Linked DNA regions of Oryzias latipes. The main gene of each other region encodes a partner of the protein of the gene in region 2 in a complex. Links are inferred from orthologs where the notes say so. Each region holds a gene or a part of one and is shown on either strand. Other genes may lie near its edges.

What was found.
Region 1: the proteins of mitogen-activated protein kinase 10 (region 2) and atf2 are in contact, whole or in part, in a crystal structure (PDB 4H36), measured with the Homo sapiens proteins. The link is inferred for Oryzias latipes from reciprocal best matches to the Homo sapiens genes MAPK10 and ATF2. Residues at the interface, in NP_620448.1 of Homo sapiens: Asp150, Ala151, Gln155, Met159, Glu164, Arg165, Tyr168, Val197, Lys198, Ser199, Asp200, Cys201, Trp362, Glu367; in NP_001243019.1 of Homo sapiens: Lys48, His49, Met51, Thr52, Leu53, Lys54, Phe55.
Region 3: the proteins of mitogen-activated protein kinase 10 (region 2) and mapk8ip1 are in contact, whole or in part, in a crystal structure (PDB 3PTG), measured with the Homo sapiens proteins. The link is inferred for Oryzias latipes from reciprocal best matches to the Homo sapiens genes MAPK10 and MAPK8IP1. Residues at the interface, in NP_620448.1 of Homo sapiens: Asp150, Ala151, Gln155, Val156, Met159, Leu161, Glu164, Arg165, Tyr168, Leu169, Tyr171, Val197, Lys198, Ser199, Asp200, Cys201, Trp362, Asp364, Glu367; in NP_005447.1 of Homo sapiens: Pro158, Lys159, Arg160, Pro161, Thr162, Thr163, Leu164, Asn165, Leu166.

The regions. Positions count from the first base shown.
Region 1 is NC_019879.2:22,381,626-22,385,881, forward strand, and holds the start of atf2 (cyclic AMP-dependent transcription factor ATF-2), read right to left. Parts: upstream 2,939-4,256; 5' UTR 2,863-2,938; intron 2,238-2,862; 5' UTR 2,210-2,237; coding exon 2,162-2,209; intron 1,315-2,161; coding exon 1,218-1,314; intron 1,118-1,217; coding exon 999-1,117; intron 896-998; coding exon 770-895; intron 446-769; coding exon 267-445; intron 1-266. Other genes in the region: atp5mc3 (ATP synthase F(0) complex subunit C3, mitochondrial), read right to left, coding at 3,833-3,947, 4,038-4,228. UniProt on the Homo sapiens protein: Transcriptional activator which regulates the transcription of various genes, including those involved in anti-apoptosis, cell growth, and DNA damage response.
Region 2 is NC_019870.2:10,340,524-10,343,438, forward strand, and holds part of mitogen-activated protein kinase 10, read right to left. Parts: intron 1,368-2,915; coding exon of another isoform or gene 1,363-1,367; coding exon 1,220-1,362; 3' UTR 1-1,219. UniProt on the Homo sapiens protein: Serine/threonine-protein kinase involved in various processes such as neuronal proliferation, differentiation, migration and programmed cell death.
Region 3 is NC_019861.2:7,597,115-7,601,478, forward strand, and holds the start of mapk8ip1 (C-Jun-amino-terminal kinase-interacting protein 1), read right to left. Parts: upstream 2,886-4,364; 5' UTR 2,801-2,885; coding exon 2,724-2,800; intron 1-2,723. UniProt on the Homo sapiens protein: The JNK-interacting protein (JIP) group of scaffold proteins selectively mediates JNK signaling by aggregating specific components of the MAPK cascade to form a functional JNK signaling module. Required for JNK activation in response to excitotoxic stress.

The DNA.
Region 1 (4,256 bases), on a different chromosome or scaffold from region 2:
AAATAGTAGCCTAAAAATAAATCTATATTTTTGAACAGTACATAATGTGAGTAGCTTTTTAAAGATGTCGCTAAAATTGGAAGAATTCACAGTTGATTTGGCGTTTACAACAAAATGAAAGACTTACACCAGAGTGCAGATTGATTAAAAAAATAAACATAAAATACAAGCACATGCCTCACAAAATGCACAAAACTACACAAAAATGATTAAAAAAAACTAAAAACTAAGATTTGTTTTAAAAATGGACGCATTCCGTTACTTACACTATGGGTCTATTAGTGGATGGAACCTGGGTAATAACAGAGCTAGATGTTGGCGATGGGAGAGCTGGCTGTATTACAACATTAGCGTCCGTGGTTGCTAGAAGTACATTGGGAACTTGGAGGGATGCAGGATGGACTATAGTGGATGTTGGCAGTGAGGCAGGCTGCAAAGTTAAGTCCTGAAAACATCATACAAGACCTTAGCTGCAGAAATGTTTAGTGAACACCAGCTTAGTTAGTTACAAGAACTTTTTGCAAATATTTTTTTGGTTGGTTTTAGGATTTCCAAATCAAAATTAAGAGCAGTGTTTGAATAAAAAAAAAAAAGAGAGTGGGGTTTGAAAATAAAAAACAAATAAATCGAAGAATTCAAGCAGGTGAAAGAAGAAGTACAATTTCTATAGTAAATGAATGATTACAGAAACAGGAGGATTCTTAATTATTCATGTTTAATAGCACTCCTAAAACCCATTAGAGAGCTAACTAAACAGAAAAAAATCTACCTTGTCATCGTTTGTGGTGGACTCAGGATGAGGAAGGGGGCTGTTCCGATGTGCATCTACAGCTGCGGGTTCCTCAGTTTTGTTGCGTATGACTGGTGTAGCAAGAGGTGACAAATCCAGAGGTAGCTTTGGGAAGGTTAAAAGAAAAAGAAAAAAAGCAGATATAAACTCTGGACTTCAGAGATCATCCTAAGAGAAGATTTGACAGAAGTTACAGAACAAACTCAACCTTCTTCAAGTCATCTTCAGCTGCTTTTTTGAAGTCATGGTCAAAAGGACTGGCAAGTTCGTTGAAAAGCCCGACTTCCTCGCAGTTTTTCAAAAAGCGAGTGGGTGTCGGCGTTTGATCTGTAATAGAGAAAAGAAAAGATAAAAGAAGAAAAAAATCACACTTAAGGAGGCAAAAACACACAAACATCTATAGACATAAAACTTAAGAAGGACTCACCAGCAATTATGATATTGTCGGTCCTCGCTGGGCCAAACTTTAGTGTCATCTCGTGTTTGTGTCTGTGGACAGCCAAGTGGTCTTCATTTGTAAATCTCTGAGCAAGGTAAAAAGGAAATAAATGAATAAAAAAACAACTTTATTCTGCATATCCTTTGAGAGACAACAATGACTCACAATGTTAAATATGTTAAAATACTAACAATTTCAAAAAGTAAACGGTGCATTGCTAAAATCCAAAGAAATCAAACCCTAAATAAACATAAACATAGGCTTAATGTGTGTTTTTATGTTTATTGTGACTGTGCGCGTACATTTACCACAATAATTACATATTTTTACCCTTTAGCCAACTTTACTTTGGCACTAGAAATTAAACAGTTGATGTGACTTCAAAAAAGAGATGCTTTTTATTATTTGACCCTTTTGTGAATCCTCAAATTGGATGCAGACTCAGGCTTTTATTAACTCCAGTGATTCTGTTTTTAAGTGGATTTATCTGTACCACAAATAATCACAAATCCTTCAAACAGTAACTTCAGCTTTTAAAATGTCTGATAAGAATGCACAAACTACGTTTTTTAGTTGAATTATTCGATATTATCAGCAAAGATAGCAAATGTATGTAAAATGTACACATTGAGTACCCAAATATTTGGTTACCATATTTGATGCATATATATATATATATATATATATATATATATATATATTAAAGTTAGTCTCTGGAGAAATACAACTACCGTATCTCAAAACATGTAATATTATAATACCTTCAACGTTTTTAAATAATCTAGAATGTAAAGATGTAAGCTCAACAACTCCACCATATAAATTTACAACACATTGGAATTGGTTTTTTTCCTTCTATTTTTCAAAAAATAAAAATAACTGAATCACTAACTAAAAAGAAATAAAAACTATGAAGAACTATGTCAGCTTACCTGTCCACATCCTGGAGCAGTACACTGGAAGGGTTTGTCATCACTCATATTAAGAAATTCTTGCTATATTTTTGTCCTACAATAAATGAATAAAAACAACATATTTCATCTCAATTAACTTAATTTCCATTTAAAACAGAAATAAATTCAACAGCCACAGAAAAGACAACCACGTAATCGTGGCTGATCAAAAGGAGGGTTAGAGGGTTAATTTTTAGATAATAGTAGAAATGACTCGAGACTCGAGTGGGACTGTTAAGGGCAAATCTAGTGAAAGGACAAATAAGATTTTGGACAAAGCCAGTGAGGAGGTGGGGTTGCTCTGTCTGTGCTTATTTATTAGCTCGGTGATGCAGTGCAGGGTCGTTCGGTGTGTGGTCGTTCGGATTGTGTATTTTTCAACACGAACAAAGAAATTATGCATGTTTTTTGTTGGAAAAAAAAGTTTCACGTTTAATTCCGACTAAAGTCATCACACAACAAAAGCTACATTATGATCCGATCCTCCGCTCCAGCCTGAGCTGAGATAACGCACAGCCGTCGCCATGTTAGAACCAACAAATCACTAAACAGATAACCTTTTGGTATTTAATTTGAGGGGGATTAATTTCACTTGGAAGAAAATAACACCGATTTCAGATAAAGGGTGCCCTTTTTTGCATTTGTAATAAAACTCGCTTTCAATTTGAGTTGTTACTTACCCCTTTAGCCACAAACGTTGTTTTCCCAAACCCCAAAGTATCGCGAGAAAACAATTTCTTCTTCCGTAAACGTCACACTAACCCAAACGCCGTAAACATACTAATGGACACTAATAAACCCATTTACCCATAAATTTACCCATTTACCCATAAATTCAATATTTTATAAATAATTGCCATCATTTCTACTGCATTACAACTTTATTTACAGTCTACGGAACCACCTCAAGTTAACATTCCTTTTTTACTCAAAGGCCAAATTTCTTTAAAACAATTCAATTTAGAGAAACATTATCGTGTACTCTATATTAAATTAAATCACAAGGAACTATTTTTGATTGAAGCAGTAAACAAACCACATGGGTAATTTATATTACAAAAAAAAAAAAACATTTGGTCAACTTTGTTGCCAAATATTACTAATTTACTGACTTCCAAATGACAATTACTTTTTAACTGAGAATTTTGTTCTGATGGACCGTTTTAGTGGCAACTCATTCATTTGACAAACCTCGAAACCCTGTTGGGGTCGGGAAATAAATTCAAAAACCCAAATTATAATTCAATCTAGATTTATTCAACGTGATTTACAAAAGCAAGTAATCACTTGTTGCCTCTTACAGTTCTACTTAACTGCAACTGAGTTAAGTGCTTATGACGGTGGACCCCATATAACTCTCAGAAAGCAAGTTGATTCACAAGGGGAGAAGATGTTCTGACATTTGTGAGAGCAAACTGCTTTCAGTTACCATGATATTCCAGACATAGACGTTGCTGCCACTGATAAATACTCAAATGCATGTATTAAATTCACGCACATTGTTATGTTTGTACATGTTTTGTTTAATTTTGACTGTGTCGGAAAGACTTGAAAAATTTACATTTCCATGACACCAACACTGAACAATTTTAGAAGCCACAATAAAATATGTAGTCACATCTGTAATGAAAGTGTTGGGAGGGCAGTGCTTTACATTGCAAACAGGATCAGAAAAGCAACCATCAAACAGAATAGTCCCATAGCTTCAGACAGGGCGAAACCCAGGATGGCATATGAGAACAGCTGCTGCTTCAAAGATGGGTTCCTGCAAACAAAAAGAAGTCAATAAATGTAAAGAAAACATTTGAATTGTACCCCAAAAAAACATGTACACAGTGACCAAATGGCAACAAACCTGGCATAGCCAATAATGAGACTACCGAACACTGTTCCAATTCCAGCACCAGATCCAGCGACTCCGACTGTAGCGGCTCCAGCACCAATGAACTTGGCGGCGGTGTCAATGTCCCTGCTGATGGCACTGGTCTGGAAGCCTCTCAGTGTGACCTGTGTGAGGGGGCTTTGTGGCATCACAGCAACAGAGCTCTGCAGCGAAAGACAAAAAATGAAAACA
Region 2 (2,915 bases):
ATATAAAAAAGGACAAATATCATATTGTATTTAAATTTCATCTACCAATTTAAAATTATAGAGGAATTATTCAGCAGAGAAATTGAGATCTTTTCTATCCAGGTTTGAATTTTTATGAAGTGTGATTGTACGTGCAGGGTGTTTACCTCCAAACTACAGAGTTGGCACCCTTCACCTGTCTTTGATTCCTCTCCACATGTTTTAAAAGGGACTTAAAGTCACCTTGTTACCATGACACCACAGGTAAATGCATCCTTCTCCATCACAATGGAGCACAATGACATGCAGGACTGTGTGCCAGCATTTGGAGAGATAGAGGCAGCGCTCACATTCTGCCAGGAGGGGGTTAAAAAAAAGAGAGAAAGGATTAACCTCTTCCCAGGAAACACATTCATTTCTGACCCCTATTGATCTGTTTGGGCTAGAAACACACACACTCCCACATTTCACTGAGAAAAGACCCCCCAAAAACGTCTGGAGTCGAGTTAGTTTACATTGTACATCCACAGAAGCCTGTATTTTTTTACGCATACAGTGAGATTGTTTAAATCTAGTCATGCAGGACTACAGCGATAGGCGTGGACAACTGAGGGGGCGAGATGTAATGTGGCAAGGTGTGTGATTGTAGGAGGAAAAATAAGAAAACTCCCAGAGTACTGGCCGTCAGTCCCACACCGTCTTCCTTTGAGCTGTACAGAATTACATTATTTACAGGTATTTTAGGGAGCCTCCTGAAGACTCGCTGCGTAAAAACACACAAATCCGACAACCTTCCCTTAATTTGGATGGAGATGATGAGGAACAGTGATTACGTGAAATTAGAATGAAACGTGGTGATAAGAAGAACAGCAGCCCACCTTGCCACATTAAACAAAAATGGAAGGAATATCAGTCTGTCAGCACTGTGCTATATATGAAGAGTTCCTTTGCTTTTGTTTGAATGCCATATACAAGACATGTGGGGTAATATAAGCAAAGCAACTAGAGGATCATAACCATATATCTCATTTACTTCAGCTTAAATACCACTGTTGGTTTTCAATGACAATGCACAGGCTGTTGGGTTTTAGCATTTCATGTTCTGTGTTTCCATAGCTCATGTTTTTGTTCTCAATATAATCATTTTTCCCTTTTTTTGCATTTTTTTTCTTCTTTTTCCTCTGTCGTAGATAGTTCTTCACCGACGGAAGAACGCAGGGTTGCGCAGGCAGGCGGCTAGTCACCTGCAACACCCCAGGGGTCCCGCAGAGGTCTCCAGGCTGCTGTCAGTGTCGGAGGCCAGGGTCTGGTCGGTGGACATGGAGGAGATGTCGTTGATGGAGGAGGACGGAGGGAGGCTCTCGCTGCTATTCACTGCTGCACCTGTGCTAAGGGAATCAACAGCAGAGGGGGGGTTACAACGTAAAAGAGTGCTGGCAGGGGGAGAGATTCTTGTAAGCGCACACGGGGAGGCACCAACGATGAAAACAACAGCCAGGGGGCACAATCACACCATCTACAACAGAGACAAACTGATTAAGGTTTGGGTTCTTTTGGTTCCGCAAGTCAAAAAAACCTTGTTGCCTCATGTATCTTTTACTTTTTTTATAATATATTTATTATAATTAGTTTAGTATTTTTTTGTTATTTTGAGTCTCATAACATTATAAATAATGCTGAACTAGTACTTATTTTTCTACCCTTTAGAAAACAAGCTTTACAATTGTCCAGACTTTTTCTTTTAAAAACAACTTCCTAAAATGTTTTTTTTTTTTTAATTTAAATGGGGAACCTGACCTTCTAAAAGTCCTCACTGCTTGACTTAAATATTTTTCAAAGGTTTCATTGTTCCAGAGCGTTTTCTTGATTTCTCTGGTTTTGGGATTTAGTTCATTAGCTTTCTAAACAAACCATAACCAACATTTTCCTATTCATGTTTATCCTTTTTTTTGGTTTCTAAAGTTTGTTTAATCCATGAGAGTTTTTTTGTTTTGTTTTTTTTTTTTTTTTATTTCAGTCATTTTTCAATAGAATATCATGTAAAGGCTGTGATGCAGATATTTTGCTGATGCAAACACATGAGCCTGGGGGGAGTTCGGGAGGCCATGGAGAAGGACTGAAGTCATCAAAATAGTCAGAAAGCCTCTGGATGGAACTTCGCAGAGGATAGATGAGATTTGCACCAAATGCCTCAGGTTTCTGGGCTGTCTTTGTTAAAACCCCTATGCACAATTGAATCGGTTAGTTCAAAAGGGGCCCAAGTCCAAGAGGTTTGTTTTTCCAGGAAATGATATTAATTGCATAGCTTAAAGGGAGGCTACCCCAAATGATTAATACTTTACCCAGATTTAGCACCAGTTCATAGATTACAAATGCTATAAAATGAAGTACCTCCCTTTTATAATTTCAGTGGACTAACAAACTAATGTCTCTGGACTTGGGCCCTTCTTGAATTAAACAGGGGCGCTGTCATTTTGGATAACTAGTGCTGCCATCTATGGGATAGAGCAAAACCCATGCAAGAGAGGCCCAAGTCCAGGAATTTTGCACTTAATGCATTTTAAATGTCAAACAAAGTCAATACATTACAAAAGACTTGGGACTTTTTTGCACATAATCAGATAGCTTTTCCCTTGAAGACCATAGAACATATAATATCTCTATTTTGAAAAATTGTGGACTTGGGCCCCTTTTGAAACAACCGATTCATTTGTGTGGGGGTTGAGAACAGTGTCTCTGGACTGGAAAATAAGGGGTGGTGGTCCCTTTTTCAAGAAGGGGCATTGGGGAATGACCTCTACTTACAAGTTGATCAAAGGATTTCATATCTGCTTATTGAAAATGATCCTCCTCTGCTGGCTTCACCAAACCAGATTTACTGATCAAGCTAAGACCCTGCCCTCAGCTGCATGGTCATGAGCTTTGGGTCATGATCC
Region 3 (4,364 bases), on a different chromosome or scaffold from region 2:
TATAAAGAAAATTATTTTTCATCCTACAACTAGATTTTTTAAAAACCTATAAAACAAATAGCTCAAACAGACTGATATAGTAGTTTTCTGATCTCCTATAGTCTGAAATTATTGGTCTGATATGTGGTATGTTGAATTTCTGGCATCAGTCCACTGAAATTTCTAAGCATTTGTTTTCATTTTTATGAGAATGTGGTTTTCTAAGTTAAGGTTCTGATTTTGAAGCGCTGGTGGAAAAAACACAATATTGTCTTGAACTTAACATTATGTGATATAGTAAGGAGTCTAAAGCTAATTTAAATACACGTCTATCACCTTTACAGATTGTAATTAGCTGAATACAAATTTTCAGACAATAATGGTATTAACTGCAATAACTCTTCAGTTAGTTGCAAAACAACTTTCCACAAATATGTATATATTTAAATTGTTTGCATCAATTCTTACTCGTTTGTGTCTAAATCGTGATGCATTTAAAGAAGGACCAGTTTTAGTCCAAGTTGTTTGTGCTGCTGTGCTTCAGTCAGCAAATAGCCAACAATCACACATCTGCTCTGCATTTCTAAACATCTACAATTTCTCTTGTTGTCCTGAGAGGATTGTTCCAAAAGTCTTTGCTCAGAATAAACCTAACTTTAACTGTGCTTTTTTTTTAAAAAAGCTTCGCCTTCTCAAAACCATGACCTGATTGTAAGTAAGGTGTTCCCTTGTTTATCGGGTCCCCCACGCAATAAATGTATCCACATTCTATGGGTTTAATCCGCAAAGTAGGTTTACTGATGTTTTAAGGCTGTAAATTTCTCAATACACACTTTATAGACTTTCTCAGACAAATATTAACATTTTCACACTTTTCTCTCTTATGTAAACTCTGAAAGTTCAAACCTCAATAGAAAAAAAAAATACTGAAAGAAAACACAGATCTGGTCAGTATCAAAGATTTTTCTAACTATGGCAAGTTTATTACGCTCTGTGCAGCAGATTCCCTTTGCCAGATAGAGTCCCAGTATCCCCAGCCCAAAAGTCAAACCGCCAAACCATCCAAACCGGAGTATAGGTTTTCCAGAAATGATTTCTTTGAGTGTGCCTTTTGAATGTTGTTGTAAAGACCAACATAAAAATGGAAAAGAAATCAAATTTCTATTAATGGATAAACATCTTGCAAATACAAAGTAGAAACTTGTGAACAGTTTCTAATTCTTTCCAACATTTTTAAAAAAGGTCTCTTGGTGTGCTATTTATTACACAACCTCATCATTTCATAATTCATTGTCATTTATTTTTCCTCTTTTTAGACTCCAAGATTCCTGAGATTTGCAACGTTCTAACATTTTGCACAAAGCCTCCTCCAAGTGTAGCCAACATGCACTAGTTAAAAGAAGAAAAATAAGAAGAAGCCCCTCCCTGCTTGTCCAGTGTGAACACTATGGAATAAAACATTCATTCATTCATCTTCTTTACCGTTTATTCCCTTTCGGGGTCACGGGGTTGCCGGAGCCTATCCCGGCCACTTGGGCGTAGGCAAGGGATACCCTGGACTGGTCGCCAGTCTGTCGCAGGGTGGAATATCCTCAATCACACATCCATTCACTCTCACACTCAGACCTGTGGACAATTTAGAGTTGCCAATCAACCTATGTAGCATGTTTTTGGAAGGTGGGAGGAAGCCGGAGATCCCGGAGAAAACCCACGCATGCACGGGGAGAACATGCAAACTCCACACAGAAAGGTCGACCATTGATGTTGTGTTTTTCATGTCCCCCAGCCGGGACTTGAACCGGGGGCCTTCTTGCTGTGAGGCAAGAGCGCTAACCACTGCGCCACCGTGGAATAAAACACACATTCATAAACAGCAATTGGCGCGATTTGGAATGCACTTCAAATGCCAGGTCTGTACGTATAGCTTAGTAGGACAAGGAATGGCTGTACACTGGGTGTGCCTTTGTTTTCATCTCTCATTGGGGAATATGGATTAGATCTGTGATCATTCGTCTTGTAATCCAACACTGCAACACTTGCATTTGGTTTACTCTTAAATGCTAAGATGAACTGTGTGATCTCCTGTCTGATGCAAGCTTGGGTTGGAGCTCCCACATCCACCTTCTCTGCATTCTTTTTATGTTTAAAGTGCTTTTGATTTGGTAAAGCCAACATGATGAAGTCATTAGATAAGAATCATGCAAAAAACAGACCCTCAAACAAATCAGCTTCATAATGATGGAGATTTACATCACTTCTAGCTCCCAGGTAGCTCTGAAATACATCAAACTACTTCTGTTTATTTAAATGAATTGGGCTTGTTTAAAACGCTGGAAAAATTCACAGATTAGATTTATGAATTTGTCAAAATATGAGTGTGGGGTGATACGAGAATGGACGCAAATGATGCACAATAACAAGATGTGACGTGTGATTAAAAAAAAAAAAGCTACTGATTCACGGGCCTGCAAGGATTAAGGGAGCTGAAGCAGATAAGAAAAAGTACGTGTTGCGACATTCGCCCTGTGAAGGCTGAACGCTGCCCCCACCGGCTCTGTCCCCCGAGAGCAGACACGCCCAAACACTGAACCATCTACTTTGGTTGTCAGAGCCCGGCATCATCAGCTCCACTCATTCCGCTTCAGCAGCCCTCAGGATGGCTGTTCTTCAAACAGCCGTCCCCCCAGCGCCCACGGACGGACGTGGAGCTCGTCCATCCTCCGCTGGCTCGCTCGTTCGCTCACCTGCGGCTAGCAGAAGGCTTCACCTGGACGCTGCGGCCGGAAGCAGGGGCTCTTTTCTTCTTCTCTCTGTCCGCCATGCCGGCGAGTTGTCATGTCTCTACAGACTCTGCTTCAAGCACAAACACCTGAAAGGTGCAGCGACGCCGTGATAGAGTGATGCATTCAGAGACTGTGGGATAAATCGCTACTGCGCTGGTGTGTTTAGGAATACACGTTTTTTTCCCCTTCTTCTTTTTTTTTTGTTTTTATTTTAAACTAGGCAATCCAGTTATTTTGTTAACTTAATGTATTATATTTATTAGACCAATTAATAGATAATAATTATAACAATACCTTATTTAATAATAATATTATTTTAAAAAAAGTCAGAAATGAATAATAATAAATTATTATTAATCATTACTATTTTTATAAATGTGCCATCGTTAGCTGCAACACTTATTTACAACTGTTGTCCCAGGGCAAGGTGTAGGTATACCAACAACAAATACCAAAAACATATAAATCTGACAGTAAAACTTCAAGTTAGAAAGTCAAATAGAGCAGAAAAAATATCTGCAATTAAGCCATATTGTTGAATGTTGAATTTTTCACATAGGACGGTTAAACATATATATATATATATATATATATATATATATATATATATATATATATATATATATATATATATAAAAATGCTGCATGCCTTGGATTTTTTAAAAGTCTGTCTGTCACAAATTAAGTATATAGACTGCCAAATCCCTTATTTGCCCTTACTGTTTCTTCATTCATGAATAAGTAATAATTAATTAATAATTTTGAAAACTCTAGAAATGACTGAGTCACAAGTTCTTCAGGTCTTGTTTTATTCTCTTTCATACCTTTGTTTTAGGGCCCAGTGGAGGAAAAGCCTAAAATAGGTCAGGCTTGTAGCAAAAACATAAACATTCAATAAATAAAGGTAGACAGGACAAAACTATAAACTAAGGGAGAAACAAAAGGCTAACAGAAGATCTGACAATGAATTACTAAAAGCAAGACAATTAATCCTTGTGCTATCTTAGATGACGCCACCCTTACATTGACGTGTTATTCCTACCATGAGAAAGGTGGAAAGATTTCATGCAATCCATGGACACCAGTGATGATCACAAATCATTCAAGAAAAATGGTTAAGCGCACTGTCTAGTGCAGGGGTACTTTTGAATCGACAATGTCTTGAAGATCTACCTATAAAATATGTATGTATGTATGTATATATATATATATATATATATATATATATATATATATATATATATATATATATATATATATATATATATATATATATATATATATATAAAATACTATTAGTAATTGTTTGTAAGTTATGTTTATTAGTTACATGTTTATTTGAACATTGTTGTTTATATACTGATGATTAAGAACTACACAGTAAGATTACACAAAGATACTTTTGTATTAACAGATTAGGCGTTTTATTACAAAGACAGAAAGCAGCGGCTATCATTTGTCATGCTCTGTTAACCGTGCAATGGGGGGAGCATGGCATTTCAAAGGCGCTGCTAGCTCCGTACGAAGCGCATGCCACGTAAAAAACAGCTTCCTTAATGAGCTCGTATTTATCGGGCGAGAACTGCAGAGCTGATAGCAGGA